7 linked regions of the Rattus norvegicus genome follow. The protein of the gene in region 3 purifies or fractionates together with the protein of the main gene of each other region. This does not show direct contact. Links are inferred from orthologs where the notes say so. Each region holds a gene or a part of one and is shown on either strand. Other genes may lie near its edges.

The links.
Region 1: the proteins of Hdac2 (region 3) and Mecom purify together in Homo sapiens (affinity purification with mass spectrometry; 3 studies listed by BioGRID and IntAct, with this or other methods). This does not show direct contact. The link is inferred for Rattus norvegicus from reciprocal best matches to the Homo sapiens genes HDAC2 and MECOM.
Region 2: the proteins of Hdac2 (region 3) and Ehmt2 purify together in Homo sapiens (co-immunoprecipitation; 4 studies listed by BioGRID and IntAct, with this or other methods). This does not show direct contact. The link is inferred for Rattus norvegicus from reciprocal best matches to the Homo sapiens genes HDAC2 and EHMT2.
Region 4: the proteins of Hdac2 (region 3) and Mier3 purify together in Homo sapiens (affinity purification with mass spectrometry; 3 studies listed by BioGRID and IntAct, with this or other methods). This does not show direct contact. The link is inferred for Rattus norvegicus from reciprocal best matches to the Homo sapiens genes HDAC2 and MIER3.
Region 5: the proteins of Hdac2 (region 3) and C19h16orf87 purify together in Homo sapiens (co-immunoprecipitation; 4 studies listed by BioGRID and IntAct, with this or other methods). This does not show direct contact. The link is inferred for Rattus norvegicus from reciprocal best matches to the Homo sapiens genes HDAC2 and C16orf87.
Region 6: the proteins of Hdac2 (region 3) and Macroh2a1 purify together in Homo sapiens (affinity purification with western blotting; 3 studies listed by BioGRID, with this or other methods). This does not show direct contact. The link is inferred for Rattus norvegicus from reciprocal best matches to the Homo sapiens genes HDAC2 and MACROH2A1.
Region 7: the proteins of Hdac2 (region 3) and Zmym3 purify together in Homo sapiens (affinity purification with mass spectrometry; 6 studies listed by BioGRID and IntAct, with this or other methods). This does not show direct contact. The link is inferred for Rattus norvegicus from reciprocal best matches to the Homo sapiens genes HDAC2 and ZMYM3.

Annotation. Positions count from the first base shown.
Region 1 is NC_086020.1:114,836,547-114,840,692, forward strand, and holds the start of Mecom (histone-lysine N-methyltransferase MECOM), read left to right. Parts: upstream 1-1,346; 5' UTR 1,347-1,629; coding exon 1,630-1,666; intron 1,667-4,146.
Region 2 is NC_086038.1:3,937,911-3,942,194, reverse strand, and holds the start of Ehmt2 (histone-lysine N-methyltransferase EHMT2), read left to right. Parts: upstream 1-1,484; coding exon 1,485-1,764; intron 1,765-1,871; coding exon 1,872-2,078; intron 2,079-2,179; coding exon 2,180-2,436; intron 2,437-4,284. UniProt on the Homo sapiens protein: Histone methyltransferase that specifically mono- and dimethylates 'Lys-9' of histone H3 (H3K9me1 and H3K9me2, respectively) in euchromatin.
Region 3 is NC_086038.1:42,101,647-42,105,926, forward strand, and holds the start of Hdac2 (histone deacetylase 2), read left to right. Parts: upstream 1-1,480; 5' UTR 1,481-1,686; coding exon 1,687-1,738; intron 1,739-4,280. UniProt on the Homo sapiens protein: Histone deacetylase that catalyzes the deacetylation of lysine residues on the N-terminal part of the core histones (H2A, H2B, H3 and H4).
Region 4 is NC_086020.1:45,042,662-45,046,161, reverse strand, and holds part of Mier3 (mesoderm induction early response protein 3), read right to left. Parts: intron 728-3,500; coding exon 600-727; intron 520-599; coding exon 377-519; intron 299-376; coding exon 1-298.
Region 5 is NC_086037.1:37,817,187-37,820,686, forward strand, and holds part of C19h16orf87 (UPF0547 protein C16orf87 homolog), read left to right. Parts: intron 1-3,150; coding exon 3,151-3,333; intron 3,334-3,500.
Region 6 is NC_086035.1:8,543,550-8,547,768, forward strand, and holds the end of Macroh2a1 (core histone macro-H2A.1), read left to right. Parts: intron 1-3,013; coding exon 3,014-3,179; 3' UTR 3,180-3,719; downstream 3,720-4,219. UniProt on the Homo sapiens protein: Variant histone H2A which replaces conventional H2A in a subset of nucleosomes where it represses transcription. Nucleosomes wrap and compact DNA into chromatin, limiting DNA accessibility to the cellular machineries which require DNA as a template.
Region 7 is NC_086039.1:70,571,148-70,574,221, forward strand, and holds part of Zmym3 (zinc finger MYM-type protein 3), read right to left. Parts: intron 2,849-3,074; coding exon 2,680-2,848; intron 2,437-2,679; coding exon 2,285-2,436; intron 1,715-2,284; coding exon 1,600-1,714; intron 569-1,599; coding exon 314-568; intron 1-313. UniProt on the Homo sapiens protein: Plays a role in the regulation of cell morphology and cytoskeletal organization.

The sequences.
Region 1 (4,146 bases), on a different chromosome or scaffold from region 3:
CTCTAGGGACCTGTATTTTATGTCTGAATGCCCCTGGAATTACACAGCTCTGGGGAGGGGAAGGTGGTGGGTATCCTTAGTTGAGGTAGGTCTTGTAAGCGTTGGTTTTCTTGGCCACCGAAGTCCCCTGGGAATTGAACCTAGATATTAGCTCTCTCACAACCGCAGTCTGAGCTCAGACAAAATGAATACCAACAGGTGCAACTGAGTCCCAACAACCCGCCTGTCCTCCATTCTCTCTCAGAGAAGACGCCAGGACCAGCTTCCCCCCCTGTTCTTTCTGACTTGAGTATGAGGATGGTAGCAGCACCGCACGGAAAAGATTGCAATTTTCTTTTATGGCGTCTGGCAGGATTTGCAGCAGATATTAATGGAGACATAAATAGCACGTGGAAGGTATTGAACACAACTGTTTAATGAAAGAAGGTTGTACTAAGAGAAAAATCCATACTGAGTTGGGAGTGATTCATACCTCGAACACACCTAACCCCTTGCGTCCTCCTCTCTGCCTGCACACTTCATTAGTAAATTCAGTAATTAGGCACATTTCAACAATGTTCTTTTTGTATTTTCTAGGTATGCGTATGGAATTTCCCCCCTTCCTCCTTCTGGTGACCCCAAAGGTTGTAGGTTTCAGTAAGTGAGTGGAAATGGCAGGCAGACTGAGTAGCAGCAGGAGGCCGGAAGGTGACGGCCGACCTTAGGCAAGGCAGGAGGTCTTGGATGTCAAACACCCAGCACGGCGGGACCCGAGCATCAAGGGCGATTGTTGCTACTTGATGGAAACAGACTACTGAAATGTTCCAAGGATAGCAGCTACCGTTAGTATTATAGCTAAAATCGAGAACCGGTTATTCATCCAAAGCGGAAGCCCCAGGAACTTCAGGAGGAGAGCGCGGGCAGCAACAGCAGATCTCTCAAGTTCAAGATGCTTCTCGCCTTCTGATAATGCGTTCACGGTCCAGCCCTCAATCTAGTTCTTTTGAAGACGGAAAGATTTAACCTAAAGTATTTTTTTTCCTCCTCCGCTCGTTTCCCCTATAGACAATGTAATTTATGGTGGAGAAAACATTAATAATAATTACAGTGCAGGCTTATTGTTGACTCCCACACAGGCACAGTCCTCTGCCCCACGAATCAATTCTCTGTCCAAGACTTTGCATTTCTTTTCTTTTTCTCCCCCCCCCCCGTTTGGGTGAAGTGTCTGCTCCCCTCCAGCTCCCCACGCTCGCTCCCCGCCCCCTGCCGCCCTCCCCGTAGCTCCCTTTCTCCGCCTCCTCGGCGATTGCCATCTGACAAGATCTCCAAATCAAAGTGATAAATCGCTCCAAACTTTTTTTGGCGGCGCTGAGATGTTGGAGGGGCGTCTAACGCGCATGTGCGAAGGTGTCCAAACTGACAATGCTAGAGATAGCGAGTGTGGATTGAGAGAAAGAGAGAGAGGGAGGGAGAGAGAGAGTGAAAGACCGAGTGTGTGTGTGCGTGTGTGAGACGAGAGAGAGAGAGAGAGAGAGAGAGAGAGAGAGAGAGAGGAGGAGGGAGGGGGAGAGAGAGACCAAAAGAAGGAAAAGATCCAAGAAAAAAAAAAAAACCTAACCACCCAGCAGCGGCTGCAGAACTGGGCACAGCATGAGATCCAAAGGCAGGGCAAGGAAACTGGCCACAAGTAGGTGCAATATCCCTTTTCTATTGGCTTCCCCCCCCCTTCTCTGCCATCTTGCATATCTGTGTCTAGCACTCGGGGAGAGAGCGCGGGCTGCTTTGGCGCGGGGGGCCCCGGGTGGAAGGCAGGCGCAGCGCAGCCTGCAGCCCGAGCAACCTGCCGATTTCTGCCTCCGCTCCCTGGCTCCTGCTCTGGGCGCAGTGGAGCCGCGGTAGCCCTGAGCCCCGCACCAGGACCAGCTGTGGCAACTCCGGGGTGGGGGTGGGGGCAGCAAAAAGCTGAGTGGGAGGGAGGAGAGCGCGCGCGAGTGAGCGCGAAGGGGTGGGGGGAGAGGAGAGTGTGTCCCCCTCCCCTCCCTTCCCCCCCAGGCGGGGGAGAGTCGCCTCTGGCCAACCAGCTAGTCCCCGGAGCTGGAGGAGGGGGGAGGGGGGCGGGCAGGGGAAGGGCGCCTTTCCGAAGCTCTGTTTGTTTCTGGGGTTTGGGATGGGTGGCGGGCTCAGAGGGAGCCGTGGTGGCTGTGGCGGCAGCGGGCCGCGATGGAGTTGGGAAAAGTTGCGAGGCGGCCGCTTGCAAGTTGCGCGGGCGATCGGCGCTGCGCCGAGCCGCGGCTGCGGTAGTGGGCGCTGTGCGCTCGGTCCTTGTGTGCGGCGGCGTGTGCGGCGCGCCGGGAGCCCTGGGGAAGGGGAGGCAGAGGTGTGGGGGGGCGCGGTCCTGGGGATGGGTTGGGGGAGCTCCGGCAGCGCCGAGCTCTCGGCTTCGCAGAGTCACTGGGCAGGTGGGGAGAGCGGAGGCCTCGCTGGCGTTCTCCGGCCTGGGGGCGGAGGGCGCGCGGCCAGCCGAGAACGCAGCACCATAAGGCCGGGAGGGCGCGCTCCGACCCGAGAAGCCCGGGCTGGCAGGGCGCCGAGTGACCCCCAGGGGGCGGGCTGTCGGAACTCGGGGCCGCGGAGGGGGCGCAGTTCAGTCTGCCACTTTCTTTCTGGGTGCAGCAGGGGTCCCGGGTCATTGGTCCTCCCCGGCGCCCTCTGCCTGCCCGGAGCGGAGCAGCCTCGGTCACGCGGGACTAGGGCAGTGGGGTTTGAGGCTACGGGGAACGGGACTCCCATCCCCCACGCTTTCAGCGAAGGCTTGGGTGACACTCAGGGACAGCGTAGGGTGGGAAGCGTTGCTTAGCACGGACCAGCAGGCGTCTGTGCTGGGTTTGTTCAAATGCTTCCGCCCAGCGTTGAAGGGGACCCGGCGAGCAGCCTGCAGTGTACTTTCTCCCTCGGATATCAGAGCTGCTTCGAGAGGGGACCGGCCAGACCGCCCATGCCTCTCACACTTGGACTTGAGGAATCTCGAACTCTCTTTAATTGTTTTGTTTCGGATCAGAGGCAAAAGATAGGATGTGGGTATATGTTTTCCCCAGTGAAGTCCCCAAGCGTACCCCCCTCCCAATCCCTTGCACATTGGAATTTAGGGCTGGAGGCACTGCATGCGGCACCACCGGGCGCGTCCTGGCTCAGCGGCGCCGGCTACAGTCGCAGCTCCCCTGCATTCTCGTTGTGGAGAATCCAACGTAACGCCCGGCGAGACGCCGTCCTCGCGGGCGTCTTTCCAGAGCTCCAGCCACTCCGTACTCGTGTCTTGCACTCACACACTCTCTAGCGGCATCTTTTCTCTCAGAACTCAGGTCGCAGGGATCAATCTAAATACAGGGCCGTCGGCCTCCTGGGTCAGTCAGCCTGCTTCTTTCTCTGCTCCCACGGCTCCTTTCACTTCGTTGTAACAGTGTAAAGTGCGCCAGCGAAACTGTTTTTCCTGTTGGCTTTTCATTGAGCCCGGTGTCTTTATTTTCACCTGAGAGAGAATAAATGCACACATGCTTGATGGCTTTGAGACTTCAAAGGTTAGGTGTGTGTGTGTGTGTGTGTGTGTGTGTGTGTGTGTGTGTGTTTGAGGGGAGGCGGGGAGATCGTTTCAACCGAGCAGTAAGTTGTGAAATGAAAGCCTGACTAAGGCTTTGCACCCTGCCTGGTTGCCCTGCATCCGACCAAGCGAAAGCAGAAAGCAAAACCTTTCGAATTTTCTTAAGGATCGTACCCCCCCCTCCCCGCCCCGACCCCGCGAGCCTTAGCCATGTTAATTGCTAAGCAAGCTGTACACCCTGTAGCCCACTACTGAGCCCAGAAGCTGAGCCTCCTTTCTGATCTGATGAGACTTGTCAGTCACCGCATGTGAGATACATTGATTTTTGTCTCGTGTCGGGTAAGGATGCCCGTGTGCTTTCTAAAGAGCGGGACCCCAGGCTTAGGAACTTTTCCTGCTGAGCCCCGGGTTCCCACTAGCAGGGCTTTACTGCTTCGGCGGCGGCTGCCTTCCAGAGACACGGGCGCTGCTTCGTGCAGTTTTCAGCTACCGTCTGAGCAATAAAGGAAATCATATCAGAACTACGGATTTTTGTATTTTAAAGCGCTATTTCCTTTCGCCAAACTGCGCGT
Region 2 (4,284 bases), about 38 Mb from region 3:
CCAGCTCTCAAGCAGAGACTAGGAACACGCCCTAAACACCTTGGCAGAAACTTTATCACACGAGTGATTGGCAGCCCCAGTGCTGGAGTAGACCTTGTGGGGTTTGGTAGCAGTGCAAGCCATGGACCACAGGTGGCCAATGAACCCACAGAGATGGCAAGCAGGCATCAGTTCGAATTTTAAGGAAAGTCGAAATACCAGCTCAACTTACAGTCCATTACCTAGAAGACTACATTTCCCAGAAAGCTCTGAAAAGTTTTTTAAATCCAAAGAGAACTACAGTTCCCAGAAGACGCCGAATTGGCCTCGGGCCCAGTAACATAACTACCTGCTTGTCTAATACTGTGTGTAAAACCAATGCAGGCATTTTCCAACTTTGCTCAGGACTTAATGCCTGGACAGGGATGGTGCCCTCGATAGTGTTCAGGGCTTGTATACTTGCCGTGTCCACCATTCACGCTTAGCTGTCAGCTGGACCATGAGCCCCCGATGGTATTTGGGCAGAAATAGTTACTGTCAATAGACTGTAGTCGCCCTCGAGGCCTCCGCTGCGTTCAGTTGTCATCTCTAGTGCAACAGAAGACATTTCCCCTCCCAGATTTTCAAAAGCACACTGACCCAGAAGTAAAGGTGTCTTCCGAGAGTCTCTGTCGCCCCTTCTTGTGCACTAGAGTCTAAAACTAAGAGCCAGCCTTCAATCTGGCGGCTCAGAACCAGAAAGACACACGCGGCAGCTGCAGAGGCTCAGGCTACACGTGTTACCCAAACCGGGCGGGGACAGGGAAGCCACAGCCCAGTCGGGCCTCACCCTTGTCTCCCGGCGGAGCCGAGGCTAGGAACGAACGCCCTCTCCCCTACAACCCCAGTTCTGGACCTCCAGGGCCATTTTGGGGGGCAAAAATGTCCAAAAGGCCCGCAGCGGCTCCTTTAAGGCGTCTTCTCGCCCTCCCTCCCTGTCCACGTGACCCGGGGCGGCCGCGCGCCGGCTCGGCCCCCCGCGCAAGCGGCGATGGCGGCGGCGGCGGGAGCTGCTGCGGCGGCGGCCGCCGAGGTGCGGAAGGGGAGGGGGAGAGGCGGGTGCATGCCCGCGCGCGCGCCCGGGGGAAGCGCGCGCTCGTGCAATGCTCCGGGGGTGCAACGGGGCCGGGGGGCCCGAGCCGAACTTGCAGCAAACCAGGGGGCCAACACCGGGGGCGGATGAGGGGACCAGGGGGTGGGAGGTGGGGGGAGTGGGCGCCGAGTCGCACGTGCCGCCGCCCGCTGCCCCTGCGTGGGCGGTGGGCACCGCGACCCCGGGAGCACGCGCGAGGGGCGCGAGGGGCCGTCCGCCGGGCTGGGGCGCAGCGGGCGTTGCAGGGGTTGGTGGCCGGGGTCCCCGCGGCCTGGGGGACAAAGGGGGAGCGGCGCGTGCAGCCGGGAGGAGGGGGCGGGGCCGGGGCGCCGAGGCCCCGCCCCCTCCCCCTCCTCTGCTCCCGGCCCCAGAGATGCGGGGTCTGCCGAGAGGGAGGGGGCTGATGCGGGCCCGGGGGCGGGGGCGTGCGGCCCCCACGGGCGGCCGCGGCCGGGGTCGCGGGGGCGCCCACCGTGGACGAGGTAGGCCCCGAAGCCTGCTCTCGCTGCCCAGGGCCCAGGCGTCTTGGGCCCCCCAGCTGCCTGCCGGGCTGACCGGCCCTCCGGTCCCTTGTCTCCCCTCCCAGGGGGAGGCCCCCGCTGAGATGGGGGCGCTGCTGCTGGAGAAGGAGCCCCGAGGAGCCGCCGAGAGAGGTGAGTGCGGCCCGGGCAGGCCCGACCGGACCTCCACCCTCCCCACCCCCAACACGGGATCCGGGCAGCCTGGAGCCCTGAACTTTTTCTTTTCCCCTCCCCGACAGTTCATGGCTCTTTGGGGGACACCTCTCATAGTGAGGAGACCCTTCCCAAGGCCAACCCCGACTCCTTGGAGCCTACCGGCCCCTCCTCTCCGGCCTCTGTCACTGTCACCGTCGGCGATGAGGGGGCTGACACCCCTGTCGGGGCCACACCGCTCATCGGGGAGGAACCCGAGAACCTGGAGGGAGATGGGGGTCGAATCCTGCTGGGTGAGAGGCTGGGGAGCGAGGGAGAGGGGGTGTAAAGGGGGCTTTCTGCATTTCTGCTTACCCTGCACCCCCCCACCCCCGTCTGCCTGCCTCTTTTCTAGGCCATGCCACAAAGTCATTCCCCTCTTCCCCCAGCAAGGGGGGTGCCTGTCCCAGTCGGGCCAAAATGTCAATGACAGGGGCAGGAAAGTCGCCCCCCTCGGTCCAGAGTTTGGCCATGAGGCTGTTGAGCATGCCTGGGGCCCAGGGAGCTGCAACTGCTGGGCCTGAGCCCCCTCCGGCAACAACTGCCGGCCAGGAGGGGCAGCCCAAAGTACACCGAGCTCGGAAAACCATGTCCAAGCCTAGCAACGGACAGGTGAGAGTGTGGAAGTCGGGTGGAAAAACTGGGGGAGTCTGGCTGGGAATTTGTTTTGTTTTTGTTGGTGGTTTTGGGTTTTTTTGGTGGTTTTTTTTTCTTCCGGGATTTAGCCTCCGGACCTCTTGTATTCAGATTTTTTTTTTTTTTTTTCGAATTTACCAATAGGCTACCAAGTGTCAGCCTCTGGGCTGGGCTTCTGTGAGCGGAGTAATTGTCGGCTTCCTGGAGTTTGTGTTCTTGGGGGAGGGGTGGTCAGCAGCGGAGACTGACAGATGTAGAGTTAATTATGTAGTTATTGTCCTATAATTACACTTATACAAATGACCGGGCTGATCAGCCTTCCCGGTTTGTGTGTGTGTGTGTGTGTGTGTGTGTGTGTGTGTGTGTGTGTGTGTGTTTTGTTTTGTTTTGTTTTTGTTTTGCCTTTGAGCAAGCGCCTAGGGAAGGGTTTTTGTTTGTTTGTTTGTTTTGTTTTGTTTTTAAATCCCTACTTTGAGACCATTTTCAAACCAGATAAAGTTCTTACTGGGAACTCTTCCTTGGGGGGTGACAAGAACCCCAGAGTCAAAATTATGCAAAGTTTTAAAAGCTCCTGACTCACCTTAAGTGTGGCTTGGGCTGGGTCTTGTTTGCTTTGCTGTTGTTTGTTTTGAGGGGCTTATTTTGTTTGGGGGGAGGGTGTGTGTGTGTGTGTAAGTAATAAGATCTCGCTGTGTAGCCCTAGGTGGCTGGCTCTGTAGACTAGGTTGGGTTAGCTCACAGAGGTCCACCTTGCTCTGTCCCCCACTTCCTGGGGTTGCAGGTGCCACACACCTGCCTTTTATTTATTTTATTTTTGTTTTTGAGACGGTCTCATGTAGCTCGGGCTGACTGAACTTGCTATAATACCAAGGATTTCGTCTTGAGCCAGCCTCTGCATTTAATTTTTTTCCTTTTTTTTTTTTTTTTTTAAAAAACATATGCTTTATGCTTGTGGGTGGTTAATCTGCATGTATGTCTGAGAACCACCGTGTGTGTCTGGGGTGCCCTTCAAGGCAAGAGGGTGGTGGATCCCCTGGAGCTTGAGTTTGAAGGAGTTGTGAGTCAGTGCTGGGAACCCAACCTGGGTCTCCCCCTTGCTCTTAACCACTGAGCCACCTCTCCAACTGCTCTCATTGCTGTGCTTCTGGGAAAGGGATTACCTCATCATGGTGGGACTGTATTCCTCTGGTACAGAAGGCCGTGTGTGAGGCTCAGACCCCTCATAAAATTATGAGAGCAGCCAAGAGGCAGAGGCCAGCTAAGCTATCAACATTTGCGTGTGACTTAGGCGTCTCTTCCTTACAGAGACGTTGTAGATGACTAGTGGATGTCCGTATCGGTAGTTTAAGACTGATTACAGACTTCTAGAGTTTTATCTATTGCTGGGTGTTGGTGGCACACGACTTTAGTGCCATTACTTGAGAGGCAGAGGCCGGCAGTTGAAGGCCAGCCTGGTTTCTTGGACAGTCAAGGCTACACAGGAAAACCCTGTCTTGAAAGAACACTTATTTTAAGTGTGCTTGTGGAACGGGGGAGGGGCACAGAAGAGGACATGTTTGCGGAGCCTGGTCTCTGCCTTTTCATGGTATCCAGGGAGTCAGACTCAGGTTTAGGTTTGCACAGCAAGCACGCCTACCCGCTGAGCCATCTTGCTGGCCCGATGTTCTCTCTTTAATTGGCTTGTTTTGTTTTCTTTTCTAAGGTTTGTTTTATGTGAGTACACTGTAGCTGTTTGTTTTTAAGATTTACTTATTATATATGAGTACACTGTCTTCAGATTCACCAGCAGAGGGCAGTAGATCCCATTACAGATGGCTGTGAGCC
Region 3 (4,280 bases):
AATCCCCAGCCCCAAGAAGGTTTTAATAGTCATATAAGAAAGCCTCTCATTTTATTGGTGAAAAGCACTTAAACAAAAAAAAAAATTCAAATGGCTTGCTGGAAGTCACAGGCACTAGACTAGATTATGTTCAGGGAAAAAAAAATCGACTTATCCTCTTGTGAAAGTGTCCTACTGAGAGACCAGTTGAGGAGTTACGGCCAACAGTTAACATGTTAAATGCTGAACTAAAAGGACACTTGGTATTAAAAAGCACGGGAAACAGACATGGGAGAACACTGTAGTCCCTGAACCTACCGTGTTAATCTCCCAGGGTCTTGTTAAAAGTACAGGCTTGGGAGAGAAGTGGATGTGGTGAGGGGTATCTTGGAGTGATTTTTAAGTCTCTTGGAGTAATGTCTAGAAGATTGGTGTTTTAAGTATGGAGAGTCCTGGGGGTCACAAGGTAGAAAATAATTATTTTTGTTAATGACTCAGTATGGTTCTTACTTCAACCCCTCCTCTTACGGAAGGAAGCGGTGTGCGCATGTAGCCGGAATTGTAAATAATAACGGTTAAGATATGTGAGTGTTGGATTTGACAGCCAGCTCCCATCCTTTCTTTGCGTAACGTTTAAGAAGGTTGGTTTAGACTGGTGCTCAATAAACGTCAAGCTATTAAAACACAGGGACTCCAATGTTTAAATCCATCCTTTTGGATTGTCTGACAGTCTGATACAGTAGACAAAGCACGTGGAGTCTGGAAAAGTTTGACACCCGTTCGGTCCTCAGATGACTCACACTTGAGGGCTCCTTCATTTACCCGCACCCATAAGGAGATGCGCACGGCGCGTGCATCCCGGCACCTTTGACACCTTTAAATGGCGTTTATTATAAACAGGTTTGGGTGCTGGGAACCGCGCTTATGCTTGAGTCCAAGAAATGCTTATTAAACCCAGGAGATACCTTCAGCCATTAACCTCTCTGTAACTCAAGAGTAGTTATCAGAAGGGAGGAGAGAACAGGAGAATTAGAACGCGTGGGAATATCCGACCACCAGGCAGCCCGGGGGCAGCCCTGGGGAGCTCTCCAGCGGGTTCCCCTCGGAGTCCCCGCGGCACGTGGCGGGCTCGGGCAGGCGCGTCGCGGCGGTGGGGGAGGGGAGAGGCGTGAGCCCTGGCGGAGGGGTCTAGACTGCCCGGGATCCGTTTGAGCAGGCGCGGAGTGCGCAGGCTCGGCCCCGGTGCAACCAGTGCGTGCCAGACCGAGAGGGGGACGTGGTGGCAGAGCGTTCGGGACTCTGAGCACAGGGCCAAGGTCGGCTTGTGCGCACCTCCGGACTGTGTGTGTGATAAGACATACGGAGCACTGCTGCAGCCTCGACCGGTGGCATCCACTCCGGCCCGGTCTCTCCTCCGGCCCGTAGCTGTGTTTCCCCCTCCGCGCGGCCGCAGTGGTTCCTCCCAACTCGCAGCCCCGCCGCCCGGAGGCCTACCCCTGCCGAGTGTCGCGCGTCGGCGCCGCTGCCAACCCCGCTCTGCGATCTCGGGCCCTCCCGGCACCCGCTCGCCGTCCCGCTCCGGGCTGTCCTTGCTGCGAGGGCCGCCGCGCCCGCCGTCTCCCTCAGCCCTCTTGTCTGGCCGCCGGGCCGCGGCGGGCGAGAGCAGCCGGAGGAGGAGCCGCAGCCAGGAGGCGGCGGCCGGAGCCCATGGCGTACAGTCAAGGAGGCGGCAAGAAGAAAGTGTGCTACTATTATGACGGTAAGTGGCCGGGGAGCCTGCAGCGGGGCTGCGGGTCGGACGCGGCGGGGTATCGAGGGTGGCAGCCCGCGGGGACACCGACACGGCCTACCCAGCGCTCGCCCGCCTACTCGGGGACGCCCGCCTTCGCTCCTCTCCGGTCCTCCGCTCGGGCACGCGTATGTTTGGGGTGCACTGCCTGGGACCGGTCTCGGAGGAACCCCTGTCGGCTCCCCGGGCCTGACTGCACAAAGCCGGCGTCCTGGAGCTCCGCCCTGCGTCCCTGTCCCCTCCCCCGCTCGCCCGGTCCCCCCTTCTCGCCCCCGATCTGTCGGCGCTGCGCTTCCAGCCTCACCCGGGACCCCGGCGCCCGGGTGGAGCTGCGGAGGAGTTACTGCTGGCCGGGGGCCAAGTTCGCAGAGCGGCGCTGTCTCGCTGGTGTTTTGCGTGGACTCCATCCCTCGCCTTTGTTCGTCGGGTTTCTTCAAGCTCCACTTTCTCAGGGTTCGGATGGAAGGGCTGCACTTCCTCCGTGACAATTAAAGGGTTTTGAATTGGAAGTAGGTAGGCCTGTGGGGAAGTGATGGGAGAGAGGGAGCGTGGAGTTGCTCTTGTTTGGTGGGTCTTGGCATGTCTCTATGGGAGGTTATTACCACCCACTTCTTTGTTGGTCTTTGTTCGATCCGCAGTTATACTCTGCTCTGGGGCTTAGGAAGGAGCATGGGCATCTTGGTTAGGAAGTCTGTCCAAGTGTGGTGGGGACCCTGCTGCAGCAAACTTTGAGAAGTAGACTACATATTCCATACAGGTAGGGCTGAGCTCAGAGTGCAGTGGACGGTACAAGGTGACTGTACGTGTTCCCTAATTTGGAATATAAGCAGTCATAGTCTCTGGGTCCAATTACACTAGATGGAGTAGTGCCCTGCCTTACAGATTTCACCCAGAACATTAATTGATAACTATTGAGAGAAGTAATAAGGAAATTGGACAGAACTAGCTAGCCTCACGGACTCGAAACGCTTCATCTCTACAAAGCAATACGAAATTGGGAGCGTTTTCTGTAGTTGGTGCATTGAAGTCTTGGAGAGGTAGATTACAGTGTAGAAAAGCAGGCCGAATGAAACCGACTTTAGCTGCAAATAACCGTTTGTTTTCTTGGTTTGGTCGAATCTTTTTTAATACAGGCTTTAAATGAAATAGTCACCTGTCATTGGCTGGAAAATCAAAAACCTGACAGAAAGCTAGGTCAAAATAGAAACAGCTTTTAAATGGCTGTTTTGTTTTCTGAGATAGGCTCTCGATAAGTTGACCTGGCTGTCCTGAAACTGTCCTATGTAGACTAGGCTGACTCTAACTCCGAGATCAACCTGCCCCCGCCTCCCAAATCCTGGGATTAAAGGCGAGTGCCACTGGCTTAATTGGCAGTTTGAGAGGACTACATTGAAAAGTTACACTATCGTGGAGAGCAGAGATGGGAAAGCATGACAACTTAGACATGACTTAACCATTATGAAGTGGGATTCATGGCAGACCCCTGACCTGCATTCTCTGATCCATTGGAAAGGATGCACTGTATGAATTAACTTGAAAAATTACAATTACAGCCTTTCCAAAGTAAAGGTTTGCTCTGCTAGAGGGTAGAGTCAGGGAAATAATGAACTGTTGGGGAACAGCTCAGTCTCTTCTGCTGTCAGCTTCTTTCCTCAGCTATGAACTCTTAAATCCCATGTAACCTTGACCGGGTCTGATGGAGAACCAGACAGTACTCTAGTGTGTCTTGAGCAGCGCCTTCTTCCCGGGTTCCTGTGTGGGGATGAGCCTTTACTGAGGGATGGGATAGACGGGTGGATGGAGGTATTTTTCAGTCATGTGATTTTTAACTTACGCCCATGCAACAGCTTTACCTAGATGTAAGTAACCAACTGTACAACTAATGGTGGAAATCTGCTGGGTTATCTGTGAAAATCTGTCTGGTTCTTGCTTGTTTTTAGGATGGACGTATTTTCATTCCAAATATTTGCATTAAAGAAAGTTAACAAAAAATGGAAAAGAACACTTAAATTGGTGTCTTAAGCTAATTAACATGTGACATGTGATAGCATGCTAGACTACAGAAATAATTCTCTACATGTCTGTCTTCATTACTGTCTGCAGTACTGGACCTGTTAGATCTCTGTGCCACTGCTCTGTGAACTTTTGGATAGGGGCATGTGAGCTATCCCTAATCCTCAGAAGAGAAATCAGAGTTCTTAGTAGACTACGACTATTGATTGACTGCTCATCCTAATTCCCAGAAACACATTTCTGAATTTTGGCTAATCTCTTATTAAAGATCAATGCTTCATCAAATGATCTGAAGCTAATTATGTACACACTAGTATACTTTCTGACCTTAAACCGAGGTTTTTTGCTTTTGGGGGGTTTTTTGTTTGTTTTTTTTCTCTATTTAAGTGTAATTTAGCAGATGGAGCCACATTTGGTTCTAATTGCAATGCTCATGGTTTTAATACTTCATCTAGAAATGTGAACTATGCCTTGTTTGGAGTGAAGCTTGGGACCAATC
Region 4 (3,500 bases), on a different chromosome or scaffold from region 3:
TTATTAACAGAAACCTCATTCATAAAGGATTCCGGGACAGCAATGCCCATTTTCAATCTCTTTGCTGGTCTTTCCGATTCTTCGCTGCACATGGGGTTTAACTCTGAGTGATAAAATCCAGTCTCAAATAAGTTAAAACAATCACTTTCACCATTGCTGGGCAGGGTGAGTAACTCTTCCGTTACGACAGGCACATGATTGACTTGTCCACGGGGCGCGTTCCCCAGTGGAGAAAAGCTATCATCCAGACAACTCACATCTGTGGGGTTGCAGACAGTTGCTACACTGTTGGTCAAAGCTAAAAGAGAAATGAAAGTAGATTAGGTGAGTGGTCGCTTGATGTGTAACAGAGGCTGTGCAGGCAGTCTCATCTTACCTGTCAAGTCACTGGCAGTGAAGGAGCTGAGAATGTTCAGCGGCTGATCAGGAATGGGCTCAGGCCGGTTAGAAGTTAAGGCTGAAGAACTGACCGTATCACCCAGAGACTCTGTTTCATCTACAAGACGATCCATATAGTCCCTGAGGAATACACATCAATAATCATAACTGTGCATCAGAGTTAAACAATGCAGTCACTCAATCAAGCCCACCATACTTACGTAACGCCAGGATGATGGTTATAGCGTTTCTTTCCAAATTTTGTCTGTTGAGCAAAGTAATCGTAGCGTTCTGACTTCTTCCACATGTAGTAGAAGGCTACACATTCAGCAACAGTTCTCGATCTCACCTGGGAAAGGAAGGTGGACACTGCAAACTGATGCTCCCCACTCCATTTTTATTTAGCAAGACCATCAACAAGGAAGCTTAAATTCACAGGACTTTCCTTGCACAATTACAAATTCTAAGTATGTCTATCAGTGACTTGTCACTACAGAATGAGCAGATTTCAAAAGCACAAGTTGCTAAAAACAAAATAAAATGCACATCCAAACAATATTCTGTTTACTAAAAAAAATCCTCAAACAATTGTGATTAAACACTCATTGTGACTGACAGCTGTCTGGATTAGCCAGCATCCAAGGACAGGTCCATGAATGGTTGTGCTTCTAATTCCCCTAATGATGGGCAGGTAGCTGAGGAGGAACAACAGCTTCAGCAGATGATCTAAGGACTCCGTGAATCCTGGCCCAGCAGCCTCCAGCTCTGCAGAGGACGCCGCTACCCGAGGCAGGGCCTCTCTGCCCCATGTTTGGTTCTTAGCTGCAACAGGCGTAACAACTGACTGGAAAGTCAGACAGCCGGCTACAGTCAGAAGAGACCATACAGACTTCCTTATCTTCAGTGTACACATTCTTCCAATTCGTGAGTGCCCCAATACAGACATTGTAGAGTCTCTCTCCTGATTCCAGAGTAAGCTGTGATCTAATGTCACTAATAGAGGGAGAAGCTTTTGACACCAGGAAATGCAGCATAACTTTCAATAACCATCATTAACTATAAGCATATAGTGCCTGTAGAGAATACAGGCTTCCTGGAGCCACACGACTTTTCTGTCTTAGCCACTGATATGAATCTCTAGTGCCTAAAATAGCGTATGTAAGTGTGGGATACAACTGCTTATGTAAAACTGATGTTTAGGACACAACCCAGACATCTCTAAACGTGTGTTGTCTATTCACACTGTATATACAGCAGAAGTTTCCAACACAGTAGTGAAAAAGGAACAAGAAACGCAGAGATAAAAAAAAAAGGCACACAGAACAGAAAGGAAGGAAAGAACCATCAGAAGTGGCAGAAGCTGTCAAAAAACCCAGAGAATCAACAGAACAGAAGTGGCTGGAGTCCAGTCAGGCAGCGGCTCAACAAACAGGAGTGTCCGTTCACTCAAGGCCAGCCTGGCTTCGGAGGAAGCTCAGGACCAGTGCAGGCAACTTACTGATGGATACCCAGTCTCAAAATGCAGACGGCTGGGATGAGTGACATGTGAGGCTTTGCCAGGTTCAATCACCAATATCAAAACAGGTAAAATACCAACAAGCAGTTTTAGCACAGTTTCAGGGTTGAGGAGTAAACCATGAAGATTAACCTACTATAGCCAAGCAGAGTAGTTCGCACCTATAATCAGAGCACTGTGAAGGCTGGGGTAGGAAGATCACTAAGTTTGAGGTCTGTCTGGGTAAATAAGTATCTATGTATATATAAACACAGAAAAAAAACAAACCAGAAATTCAGAAAAACCTTTAACTTCCCTATGTACAAATAATGACGTGAAATTTACTGAAAATACATCAGTGCCTTCAACTAGATATGAGTAAAACTATAAAACACTTAATGAATTAAAGAAGTGGAGAGATAGTCCACGTTCATGGATAAGAAGACTAATGATTCTGTGTGATCCCAAATAAAATCCCAGGTTACTCAGGACACCTGATTAACTGATTCTATATGGAACACAAAGCCTTAGGATAGCAAACATGGGGCTCTATTGAAAAGCAAAGGAACTTTGTTACTTTAACGCCTTGCAACCAACAGTGTGAATAAGGTATGAGACACATGGCTTTAATCTCAGCATTCAGGAGGCAGAGGCGTTTGAAGTCAACCTGGTCACATAGTGAATTCCAGGCCAGCCAGGGCTACACAGTGAGACCCTGTCTCAAAGAAGGGAGAGAGAGGGACAGGGATAGCAAAGAAAATCTGATACTGTAGTGTTTAGATAGAGAAGGCAAACACATTATTCAAGGAGCCCACAAACGTAAGCACTGATAAATATGATCTTTGACCAAGGAGTCAGGCAGTTCAACAGAAACAATCAAGACTAAAGCCCGACAAACATTTGGAGACCTTGTATCTTGACTCTGTAGAGTAGTACTGAGTTCCTGAGTATGGACTTCCCGTGTATTTGCTGCACACACAGGCCCAGCTCCCTGTCCCTGTCTAGGCTAGAATGTGCTAAGCCTGCATTGCTCCATCCACCACTGTTACCCACAGCCTGAGACTACTGGGCTCATGTACGACTCCTTCCCAGTACCACACTTCTCTACGTCCTCTACCTCCTTCCCGCCTTCCTACCTAGCCTCTGCAGTCACTCAATGTTAGAGCACTTTCACTTTTCCAGTGTCAGGCTGTGAGAAAGAGCCTTGGATGCACACAGTCTTCTTGAATACTTTTCACTTAGCATTAAATATGTAAAGCTATTCCCCATGTCTTTTGCGATTTGCTGTTTTTACTGTCTTTAATACTAAGTGACAGCCTATTGTCTGGATTGTCACCAGTCTATGGATTTAAGTACTGGCACAACAATAAAAGCTGACTGAATCTGCTCTGAATATTTTCATGCAGGTTCAGATTGAACATGAAGTTTTCAACTCATCTAGGTGTCAATACAGAGAGGGGACTGCTAATTCATTTAGTAATATGTACAGCATCAGACACTCCCAGTTGCCCAAGGCGGCTGAACCATTCTTGCTGCTGCCCTGCCCCACCCTGCCTGGCCCACCCACACTGCCCAAATGGCCAGTGATTATCGCAGGTTTTTAGATGCTCTTAGTAATAATCCCTTG
Region 5 (3,500 bases), on a different chromosome or scaffold from region 3:
GGTTAGCAAGCCTTAAGGATCAGCCTGTGGCCGCTTTCCCAGTGCTGGGATTATAAGCAGATGTCACCATGCCCATATTTTATATGCTGCTGAGGATCAAATGTGAGTTACAAGTGCTTATGTGACAAGTGCTTTACTGACATCAAATCCCTAAAAGAAAAACCTTTAACACACCATACTGCTATAGAACATTAATGATAACTTTTTAGTATTGAATGTTCAACAGCTGTCTTAGGGTTTCAGTTGCTGTGAAGAGACACCATGACAACTGCAATTCTTAATAAGAAAAACACTTATAGTTCAGAGGTTTAATCCATTATCATCCTGCCAGGCAGCCATGGTACTGCAGAGCTGAGAATTCTACATTCTTGATCAGCAAGCAGCAGGAAGAGAGCTTCTGACACCTTAAAGCCCACCCCCAGTGGCACTCTTCCTCCACCAAGGCCACACTTATTTTCTTTTTTTTTTTTTTTTTTAGAATATATTAATCAGGTTTATTGGGAAGCTGGTCCTGGACAAGTATAGTGGCCCCTAAGAATGGAGGACGACAGAAGAGTCGCCAAAGGGGGAGGGGGAATAGGGAGAGAGAAAGAACGGGCAGGCATACAGAGAGAAAATAGAGAAGGACAAGAAGAGGAGGAAGTGGTAGTGAAATTGAGAGAGAGAGAGAGAGAGAGAGAGAGAGAGAGAGAGAGAGAGAGAGGGAGAGGGAGGGAGAGAGAGAGAGTCCAAAATATAGGGAAGAGACTCTGGGCAAAGTGCAACCCAACTCCTGGGCTGGAAAGTTCAGGGCTGGGCACAGCAGGGCACACTTATTTTCCAATAATGCCTCTCCCTATAAGTCTGTAGGGGCCGTTTTCATACAGAGCACCGTGTCAGCTCATGTTTCTGTTCTGTTTCCCCGCCCTCCTACTCTGCTTTCTGTTGCTGGAATAATTACCAGAAAGCCTTTATATTGTGCTTGGACCCTAGGGACATAGGCTAACATATTCCCTGAACGATCTGATTTTTATTTATTTATTTTTATTAGTTATTTTATTTATTTACATTTCAAATAATACCCCCCTTCCCAGTTTCTTCCCCATAAACCTCCTTGCCCATCCCCTTCTCTCCTGTGATCTGTGTTTCTAAGTTGAAAGTTGGCTTTAAAAACGATGTGACTGGCCTTGGGCTCTGTCATTGTTTCTGCAAACCTGGTGACCCCTCTCCATTCTTCAGACTGGCCAGGCTTCTGCAGGAAATGTGGCACACCAGCCCTACAAAGTGACACAGTGCAGCAGGGACAAGGACTCTGGGAGGGCAGGGGGGTCGGGCAGGGAAGTAGGGTATGGCAGGAGACCGTGTGGTGACAGTGGCCAAACTAAGCCTGTTTTCCCTAAAAAGGCTAAACTTACAGAGAAGGTTGAGTGCGTTGAGCTCAGCTGCAGACCTATGAGAGCACTGGCTGTGGAGAGGTGTGAGTGGTGAGTGGGGGCCTTTAGAAGGAGAACGGGCCCGTGGTCCACTTCTAAGCTAGGTGTTATGAAGACAGCAAGATCAGGAGCTTGTACTAAAGATAAACAACCAAAGTCCACAAGACTGAATTCTTTAGTTTTACTTTTACCTGACTATAATTGGTACTCTGTCTGTCTGTCGTTTATCAATGTTGGCAGTTGTGAAGTTCGAAGACACTCTGGTTCTAGTGCTTATTTAGTAGGTCTAATAACTGAAACACCCACTGATGTGGCCTATTAGCAAAGGCAGGAAGGAGCAGGTGGGATTCTGGGAAACAGTCGGGTGCGGGAGATTTGCCCCCCAGATGCAGAGGAGGTCGGGTGTATGAATCTGAGGAGAGGTAACCAGCCGTGTGGCAGAATGTAGATTAGTATAAGCAGGATAACTGAGTTACAAGCTAAATGGGAGCAACTGTAAGACAAGGCCATAGACCTTGTGACAAATAAATCCTCTTCATGCCACTCTTCAGGAGCTGGGGAGGACATAGAAAAGCACCAGATGCTTACACACAGTGACTTACATAGTTACATACAGTACAAGTAGTTTGAGCTTTTAATGTGATATACTGGAGGTTTTAGGATATTTGATATGTTTTATTTTGCTACAGTTGTACTCTTAATGGTATTTAGATTGTCCTATTATGGTCATTAGAACCTGCTTCAAATTAAATCCTACATCTTTCAATAAGTCCTCAATTATATTTGGTGACTTTTTGTGGTCTGGAATAATTGAATATTCTTGTGTAATCCAGTATCCTTGAGTCTTAGGCCCAGAATAAACTTTCTACAATGACATGTAGAGGAAGTTAATAGTGATTTATGCCTGCCCCGTTCTTTGAGACAGGGTTTCTTTATGTAGTGCTATCTGTTCTGAGTGTAGACCAGGGCGGTCTAAACTCACAGAGCTCCATCTGCCTTTCCTTCCTGAGGGCAGGTGCCACTGTGCAAGTCCCCACTCACACTGGTCCTTAAGTCTCCATCTTTCCCGTTATCATTGTGGTTTTAGTTATTTTGGAAGTTAATTTTCTGTTTCTTGAAGTTAGATGTATGCTGAAGTAAAAACATTATTTTAATTTAACATTTTGATTTGTTGGGCATAGGGGGCCTCTTGCAGTAATAAAGTCTCTATATTAGTGAGTTCCTGGATTGTCCACTCCATTCATGGAACAAGATTCTGTTATATCAAGGATCACCCTTCTCCGTGGGTTAGGTGGGAATTCCTTACTTTCTGTGTCTTAAGAGTATGTTGTATGTGTGCTCTGTGGTTGGTTTTATTGTAACCTTTGCTACGCCTCAGGCCAGTTTTACTTCTAACCTACTTATTCACTCTGTAATTGAGGTAAGGGCAGAAAGCAATGGATCCACCCCACCCCCTTATGTGTGTCTGTGTTAAACTTGGAAACGTGATGGAAAAAACAGAAAGGTTGTTGTGGAGCAGGGCCTGGAATTAAAGCTGCCAGGTGAAGACATTTGCTATCTCTTAGAAGACCTTCCCTAACTTCATACGTCTGATTTCTATTGGTTGCTCTATGTGAGCATGGGGGCACTGGAGCTAGCGTTTACAGACTTAGAAAATATGCCAGGAAGGGAAAGGAAGGTACTTGGCAAATCGTTGTTGTGATGCCCTGAAATAAATCACTTTTATTTATCCATACAGAAAACAAGCATGAGGCCAAGAGGAGGCGAACAGAGAGAGTCAGGCGAGAGAAGATAAATTCTACAGTAAATAAAGATTTAGAAAACAGAAAGAGATCTCGAAGTAACAGCCATTCAGATCATATCAGACGAGGAAGAGGAAGACCTAAAAGTTCATCCGCCAAAAAACACGAGGAAGAGAGAGGTATGGTTAAACCCCAGCGCTTCCCAAATACCAAGCCGATAAAAGGGAATAATTAGATAATAGTAGTGATATAGTGGGAGCTTTGAGCTTAAAAAAAAAAATCACAATTCATATTTTGGTTTAAAAACATTTTCTTTTTTTCATTGCAGTACTGCATTTTGAGCCCA
Region 6 (4,219 bases), on a different chromosome or scaffold from region 3:
GCATTCAGATGGGAACCAAAGTAGTGCCCGTGCTTCGAAGCCTGTGTTTGTGCCAGCGTCCAGGTCTGCAGCCCTCCAGCACAGTTGGGCACCATACACTGGTCTGCAGGCTCTGGCAAGCTGAGGCGGGCGTTGCTTAAAGTGCTCACAGTAACTAAATGCCAACGGTCACTCAGTCGTAGCTCTCTGAGGCTCTGGGGGATAGTCTCCCACCTTCGGATGATCCTGGAGTCCAGTTGTCTCTAGCAGGCCTGGACCCCACACTCTACCTAATTAATACATATCATCTTGTCCCACCACTCTGACCTGACCGGGCTAGGGCAGGGCACAACCCAGAAGCGGAGGGCATCAGGTCATCTATGATGGGGCAGCCAAGGCACTGTGTAGCTACAGAGGCTCTCACCTTAGGGGAGCCATGAATCTACTTCATCACCTGTGTGTCTAGCTAGGGCAGCTAGGGGGCGCCTGGGACCCTGCCCAGCAGCACAGGGAGATGCCCGTCTTGCTTCTGCTTCTCCCCATGGTCTGCTACTTTAGAGCGGGGCTCCCTAGGACCAATCCAGGCTCCCATTGGCCCAGCAGCAGGCCAGATTAGAGTATGGTATGTGAGGTGGGCGGTACCCTACCAGAATAAACCTCTCAGCCTCCCTTTCCCCAGCTTCTGCATTCTGAGAGTCCAGACTGTGGAGTCCTGACCCGCTGCCTGCATGTAGGCCACGGCTCCCAGTCAGAGTGGCCGAAGGCCTGAGGGGCAAAAGCTCCAGGTGCAGAGCCCAGCCGGGTGTGCAAGGCAAACTCTCTGTGATGTCAGCACCAGCCACAGGTTCAGAGTTAGAACCCAGGACCAGGGAGGAGCCTTCCCTCAGCCACAGCTGAACCGGCTAGGCGTAACCTGCTCCTGTGATGCTCTTAGGAGACTGACCTTGCAGTCGGGAGAGAGGCCAGGGCAACACCATGTATCTTCATCACATCACACACTTGGCCGGTGCCCGGCAGAGTCCAAGCGCACCAGCTGGCTGAGCGCACAGGAGCAGCACGCAGCTGTGACCGTTCGTCTGGGGGGCCTCCCCGGCTCTGCTCATCTGAAGGGGCGTGAAGTGAGGCAGGCAGGCAGGCAGGCAGGCAGGCCGGCCTTCAGTAGCATGGCACTGGTGGAATATGGGTCAAACCTACCCATGCAGAGAACAGCTCCCTGCACACTCTCCTCAGAGCCTGCCAGCCCAGGTTGTGCCCACGGACTGAGGTCTGCCTGCCCCGGCCACCCTCTCTGCTCCCTGGGCCTGGATGCAGGCTCCAGCAGGATACACACAGAGGGTGGAACGCGCTCTCTCTACAACAGATCAGCAGTTCCCACCTGGCCCGTTCCTGTGCTCCCCTCTCTGCCTGAGAGGATTGCGGCCACTGTGCCAGCTGCCTGGTGCCTCCCTGCAGCCCTGACTTCTGTCACACTGACCCCCAGCTTAGCTAGACCATCAGGCTTGTTCCGGGAAGAAACCAGACTGTCTGGAACTCCGAGCCGAGCTCCATGGGGAGAGGCCCTGAGCATGTATCACACCCCACAATGGCCCAGGTCTCCCAGGCGAAAGCAGGTCGCAAGAGCTTTTCCTGTGGCCTTGTGAAGAGCCCTGAGCACTAACAGCTGGGGAGAGTGCGGCTCCCGGGGGCGGGGTGGGGAGTCAGGGTCACAGGCACAGTGTAGAAGGCTGCGTGTGCTGTGATCACATCATCAACTCAGAGAGGACCAGCCAGAGTGGCAGGCAGGTGGGCTAGGGACTGTAGACTGCAGTGAGCAAGGCGTAGCCCTGAAGGCTGCTCCAAGCAGAGTTTCCTTCCACTGGGCCAGACCACTCTGTAAGAGCACATGCTGTATTGGCCAGGGACTGGCTCAGGCTTCCAGGTCCTGAGTTCACACTCGGAGCCCCCTGTGACATCAGTGGCAGGATGCTGACTTGGAGACTTCCGTGATGACCTGAAGTCAAGGTTATCGACACTTGCCCCAGAATTCTGCTCTGCACCACGGTGGCTGCCCTGCCTGCCCTCTGCTCTAACACTAGCTGGTGCAGTTTGGAGATGGTCCCTGGACCAACAGCCCTTACTGCCACTTGTATAGAGCACTTGTATAGAGTGCTCTATACAACTCGAGGGCAGAGCTACTCAGACCCCATGGCCATGGTGGACTGACACTGATAGGCGCCTCAGCAGTGGAGCTTTCATGGACTGCCGGTTCCGGGGACCATGGGGAAAAGCAGCAGGAGCTTGCGCACCTTGACCGCTCCACGCTCGGCATTCAGTGTCCTTGGTTCTTGCTGCCACTGTCTAGAATGCTCTCTGGGTCCCACCTCTTCTTCCTGCTCACAGATGCCTGGTTATATTGCCTGTCCCTCGTCTTGTGAGCGCTGGATGGCTCTGTCTGTTCTACCACAGCAGTGCTTATGGTTTTGAACGAGTTGAGCTTGTTTAACACGCAGCAAGTGGACGTGAAGACAGTAAGCAGCAGAGAGACTGCAAACTTCACACCAGGTCATGTTACACTTAAAACATCCCAGCAGAAACCAATTCTAGACGCCTAATGGAGAGAGCAAGCCGCTCATAGATATCAAACCAGTTAGCAGTGACCTGCTGGGGGAGCCCCACCAAAGCCATGTCTGCCTAGAGCTCCCAGAGCTCCGAGCAGTGTCCAGGGATGAGCTTGGCTTCCTGTCCCCACAACAGACATTTTTATACCATGGACTAACGGTAACCTTGCTGGCCATCCACTCTCCTTTCCCCTTGCATCAAAGGCAGTCTGCCTCAAGACACGGGGGCTAGGAGGACACCTGGGGTAACTGCTGTGAGACGAGGGAGGTCATGTTGTAGAGCTCACACCCAAGTGCCAACGGTGTGTGACAGCTCTCTAATACAGCTTACCCTGTGAGGGCTTTCTTCACACCTGTGGGAGCATCTCCTGCCCAGGGTGAGGACCCTGCTCGCTGTAGACACCTTGAGTGCTGACCCCCTGTGTTCTCTCCTACAGGAACGGGTTCCCGAAGCAGACAGCCGCCCAACTCATTCTGAAGGCCATCTCCAGCTACTTTGTGTCCACTATGTCGTCCTCCATCAAAACTGTGTACTTTGTGCTTTTTGACAGTGAGAGCATAGGCATCTACGTGCAGGAAATGGCCAAACTGGATGCCAACTAGGCCAGCGTTCCCTAGAGCCAGCACATGTCGTGGCCCCCACCTCCAACTGGAAAGAAAGAAAAAAAAAGAAAAAAATCCCCTCGGCTCTTATGGGGAGGTGGGGGCTCCTTTCCTTTTCAGTTCTGCTCATCTAGGGGAAATAAGGTTTTGGTTTCCGGTTTGATTGTTTTTGGCCTTCTACAATGTTTTCTGTTAGCACTGATAGCTGGCATTGTCCTTGCTAAGCACTGCGTTCCAGACCGTGTCTGACTTAGTTAACCTAGGAGATTTTATAGTTTTACTTTAATGAAGTCCTGATTAACACAGAGCAGTGGAGAGACCGTGCCCCTGTGTCAGCAGCAGCAGCAGCAGCAGCAGGAAGCCCCGTTTGTAACGCGTGTTGTGGTGCTTTACTGTACACCCAGTGGCGTTCTTTTTACTATTACGGTTTTTCCCCCTCAGAAGAGAAAAAAAAATCATAAAATTTGCAACAGACCTAACTTTTGTTTACTTTTTTGTCTTAATGATAGATTTGAAAATGAAAAATGTTAAAAAAAAAAAGACAACTGGATCTGTGGTCCTTATTATATTTGCAGTTTTTTTTTTTTTTTTTTTTTTTTGGTTCTTTTTTTCGGAGCTGGGGACCGAACCCAGGGCCTTGCGCTTCCTAGGTAAGCGCTCTACCACTGAGCTAAATCCCCAGCCCCATATTTGCAGTTTGAGATTTGTGCGAATCAACTTAGGAAAGCGTTGAACTGTCGAGGCTGGCCACGTGTTGCGTTACTGCGCCTGCGGGCCCCAGGCCTGTGTCCCTAGGACACAGGTCCAGGCAGCGCACACCCAGGAAGCTCCCGGATAGTCCCACGAGAGTCTGTGGACGGTCCCTGGACCTCGGCGGGTAGGTCAGACATCTGCTGGCCCTAGGATATGTAGCGAATTCACGTAGGAAGCTTGGAGTCTCGAGTGTGGTTGGGGTGTCAGTCCCACCTCACAGAGAAGTTAGAGAGCGCACCCACAGCCGCACTGGAGATGAAGCAGCCAATGCTAGAGCAGAGCCTTGC
Region 7 (3,074 bases), on a different chromosome or scaffold from region 3:
TGAATCATAAAAAGGTTTTGATTCACTCTCAACTCTCCCTGTTGGTCAGACACAACTAATGGCTTACTACCTGCTCACCCCCATTCTCTCAAAAGAAGGCAAGCAAATAAATTGTCTAGAAATGAGGAAGGTGAGAAACAGGCAGTTAGTTGCCCTCGTATTATGAGACAGCCAGCCACTGTGTATCAGAAGGCCTGTTTTTCATCTTTTCTGCAAACACAGAGGGAAGCTAATGACAAAGCAGAGGTATGGTGGGGATGCCATGAAAAAGAACATAAAGTACAAAAAGTCAAGGAAGGGGATAGCCTCATACCTCGCCCTTTCCTCTGTCGGACTGGGGCATAGTAGCGGATGCTCACCACCTTTGTGGTGCCCCGAGGCGTGGTACACTTGCGAGACTGTCGCACCACATTAGTGAAAGAGAGCTGCATGTGTTCCTCAGCTGTCTGCAGTCCAAAAAACTTAGTGTTGAAGAACATGAGGGTGTTGAGAAGGACAAAGGGAGAATAAACCCCCAGTTGCTTGCACTCCCAGAGGTGTTCTTCCTCCACACGGGAGAATACAGTATCTGTGATGGACAAAAAGAAAAAACAACGGGGGTCGGCTTCCCAAAGCCACCTGAGTTCCTAACATGCATACACTTAACTGGGCTTCTTACTGCATATAAATCCTGGCACCTGACCTACACAGTAGGACTGGGAAATTAGGGGCTGGGAGAGTTGACACAGGGTTTTTCTGTGTGACTTGTCTGTCCCGGAACTGAGCATTTTAATATACTCTTCACCTGCATGCAACACTTTTCTGACCACCTCTAAGTTATATGCAGGTAGACACTAAGCTTAGAATTCCTACATCTTGCTTTCTTTTTTATCAACGTATCACCGAAACTTGGACTATTTCTGGTCCCAGAGATAAATCTAAAGATCTGAGTCTTTTTTCTCTTTTTCTTTTTAAGAAAAGTTTTCCTCTATGTAGCTCAGGCTAGCCTTGAACTTGACATCTTGTCTTAGTCTCCTGAGTAGCCTGAACTATAGCCACAAATTATTGCTCCTGGATGAGACTGAAGCCTTGACCCTTTCATCTTCCTTTTTTTAAGTGTTCCTATTAAAAAAAACAAAAAAGAAAAACAAAATAGGGCTTCCCTATGTATTCCTGACTGGTCTTGAACCACTATGTAGACTAGGCTAGCCTCAAAACTCAAGAGATCCCACCTGCCTCTGCCTCTCAAGTGCTGGGATTAAATGCACATACCACCAAGTTCAACTCATGTTCTTTTCTTAAAAAAAACAAAACAAAACAAACAAACAAACAAAAAAGACAGTATCTTAGTATATAGTCCAGGCTGGCCCAGAACTCACAATTCTGCCTCAGCCCCCCCTGGTGCTGGGATTCTAGGTATGCATCACCACATGTGGTTCTCTTTCTCATGCTCAAGGGCACAGATTCTGGCTCCATTAGCCGGAAACCCTGAGGCATCCAGGACATACTCCTACCCTTGAACCCTTAGTGAAGAGTAACAGGCCGGCCAGTACAGGACTCTTGCAGTGGTATGTTGGAAGAAGGAAAGAGGGGAAGGGATTGCTAAGTTCTGTCCCTTACTGTTGGGGAGGAGTGTGGGCTGCCAGGTACTCAGAGACTTGTTGAGTTCTTGAACGAAAGTCAAGTAGTAAAGGTCCGTGAAAATGTTCACCATTCGGTTATTTTCCAGCAAATACTAAAGAAAGAAAAACAGACATACATAAAGTAGGCTACAGGTCCTAGACTCCAGGACCTAGAGGAAAGAGCATATGATGAAGCTGCAGTCGCGGTCCTTGATAATTAAAAGGGGATGGGAGTCAATTGCTTGAGTAGATAACCCGGAGTGTTATGTGTTCCTGCATTGCTGATGTACGGAGGCTTTGCTGAAAGAGGCAGAGGCTTGGAGATGGTCCTCATAAGCTCAGACACCCATATCAAGTCATACCTGCTAAGCTCTCCTAGGCAGAACTAAACACTACCTAACTGCTCAAGGAACTCAGCCCCCACATCCTTCCTCAAAACACAATTCAAGGTGACCTGGAGGATCCAAATAGCAGTCAACACTGAGGCTTGAACAAGAGTCCTTGAATGAAGAAGCTCTGATTTTAGGAGGTCATTGATGTCTATTTGTCATAGGAAATTTAAGCAAGCTGCCTATTCAGGGTCAGAGACAAGTGACAAGGAGGGATGGGTTAGAAACAGTTCCAGTAGAATTCTGTATACTGTGTGGGAGGTGAGAGAAAACCCAGTGGTGTGCGAGAGTTACCTGCTGAATACCAAGACACAGGTAGTAGATACTGTCAGGTTCATATCGTTCACCATTGGGTCGAGTAATTTCTCTCACAAACTGGGCCAGACCATAGTTGAGCTCAGCAGCTGAACAGGCGAGAATATCCTCCTTGATACGCATGGGTTTGGCTGTAGTGACATGTGGTAGAGGGCAGGGTTAAGAAAACGTCATTTGGAGAATTTCACTTAGCTCTACCAACAGCCCTTCACTCATAACTAGCTCCTGAAAAACAATTACAAGGTGTCCTCAGCCTTGGACTGTTAGCTGTCTTTACTGGATGGGGAAGCCATAGGTGATCATACCCTTACCACTCCAGGTATCTTCAGCTGATCCTAGCTATAGACCCTTCTCTTTCCCTCCCATGTACTTACGGCCAAAGCGTAGCTCATCACCTTTGCTGGTCTCTCCATTGGCATATTTTGACTGTACCCAGCATTTCCAAGCATTGACACCATATGAATAGTTGAGACCAGTACAACTAGGCTGGCTGCTCAGAGAGTCTCTGGAACAGCTTTCAGAAAGCATCAGCCTCTTTTGACCCTGGAAAGGAAGTCAAAGGGAGAAAGGTAGCAAAGCAAGGCCAGGGCAGCAAAGAAGCTAGTCAGGACAGCGCTCACCATCAGAAATGGGAGCACTGGGATAAGACCACGGAAAGCTTCCATGGCAGAGTCCCAGAATTACTTTGATGATCTTGTTTACTGAGAGAAAAGCAAACTGTGAGAGCTAGGTCTCAGTATTTCTAGCGTTGGAGAAAGGAGGCCAGGGA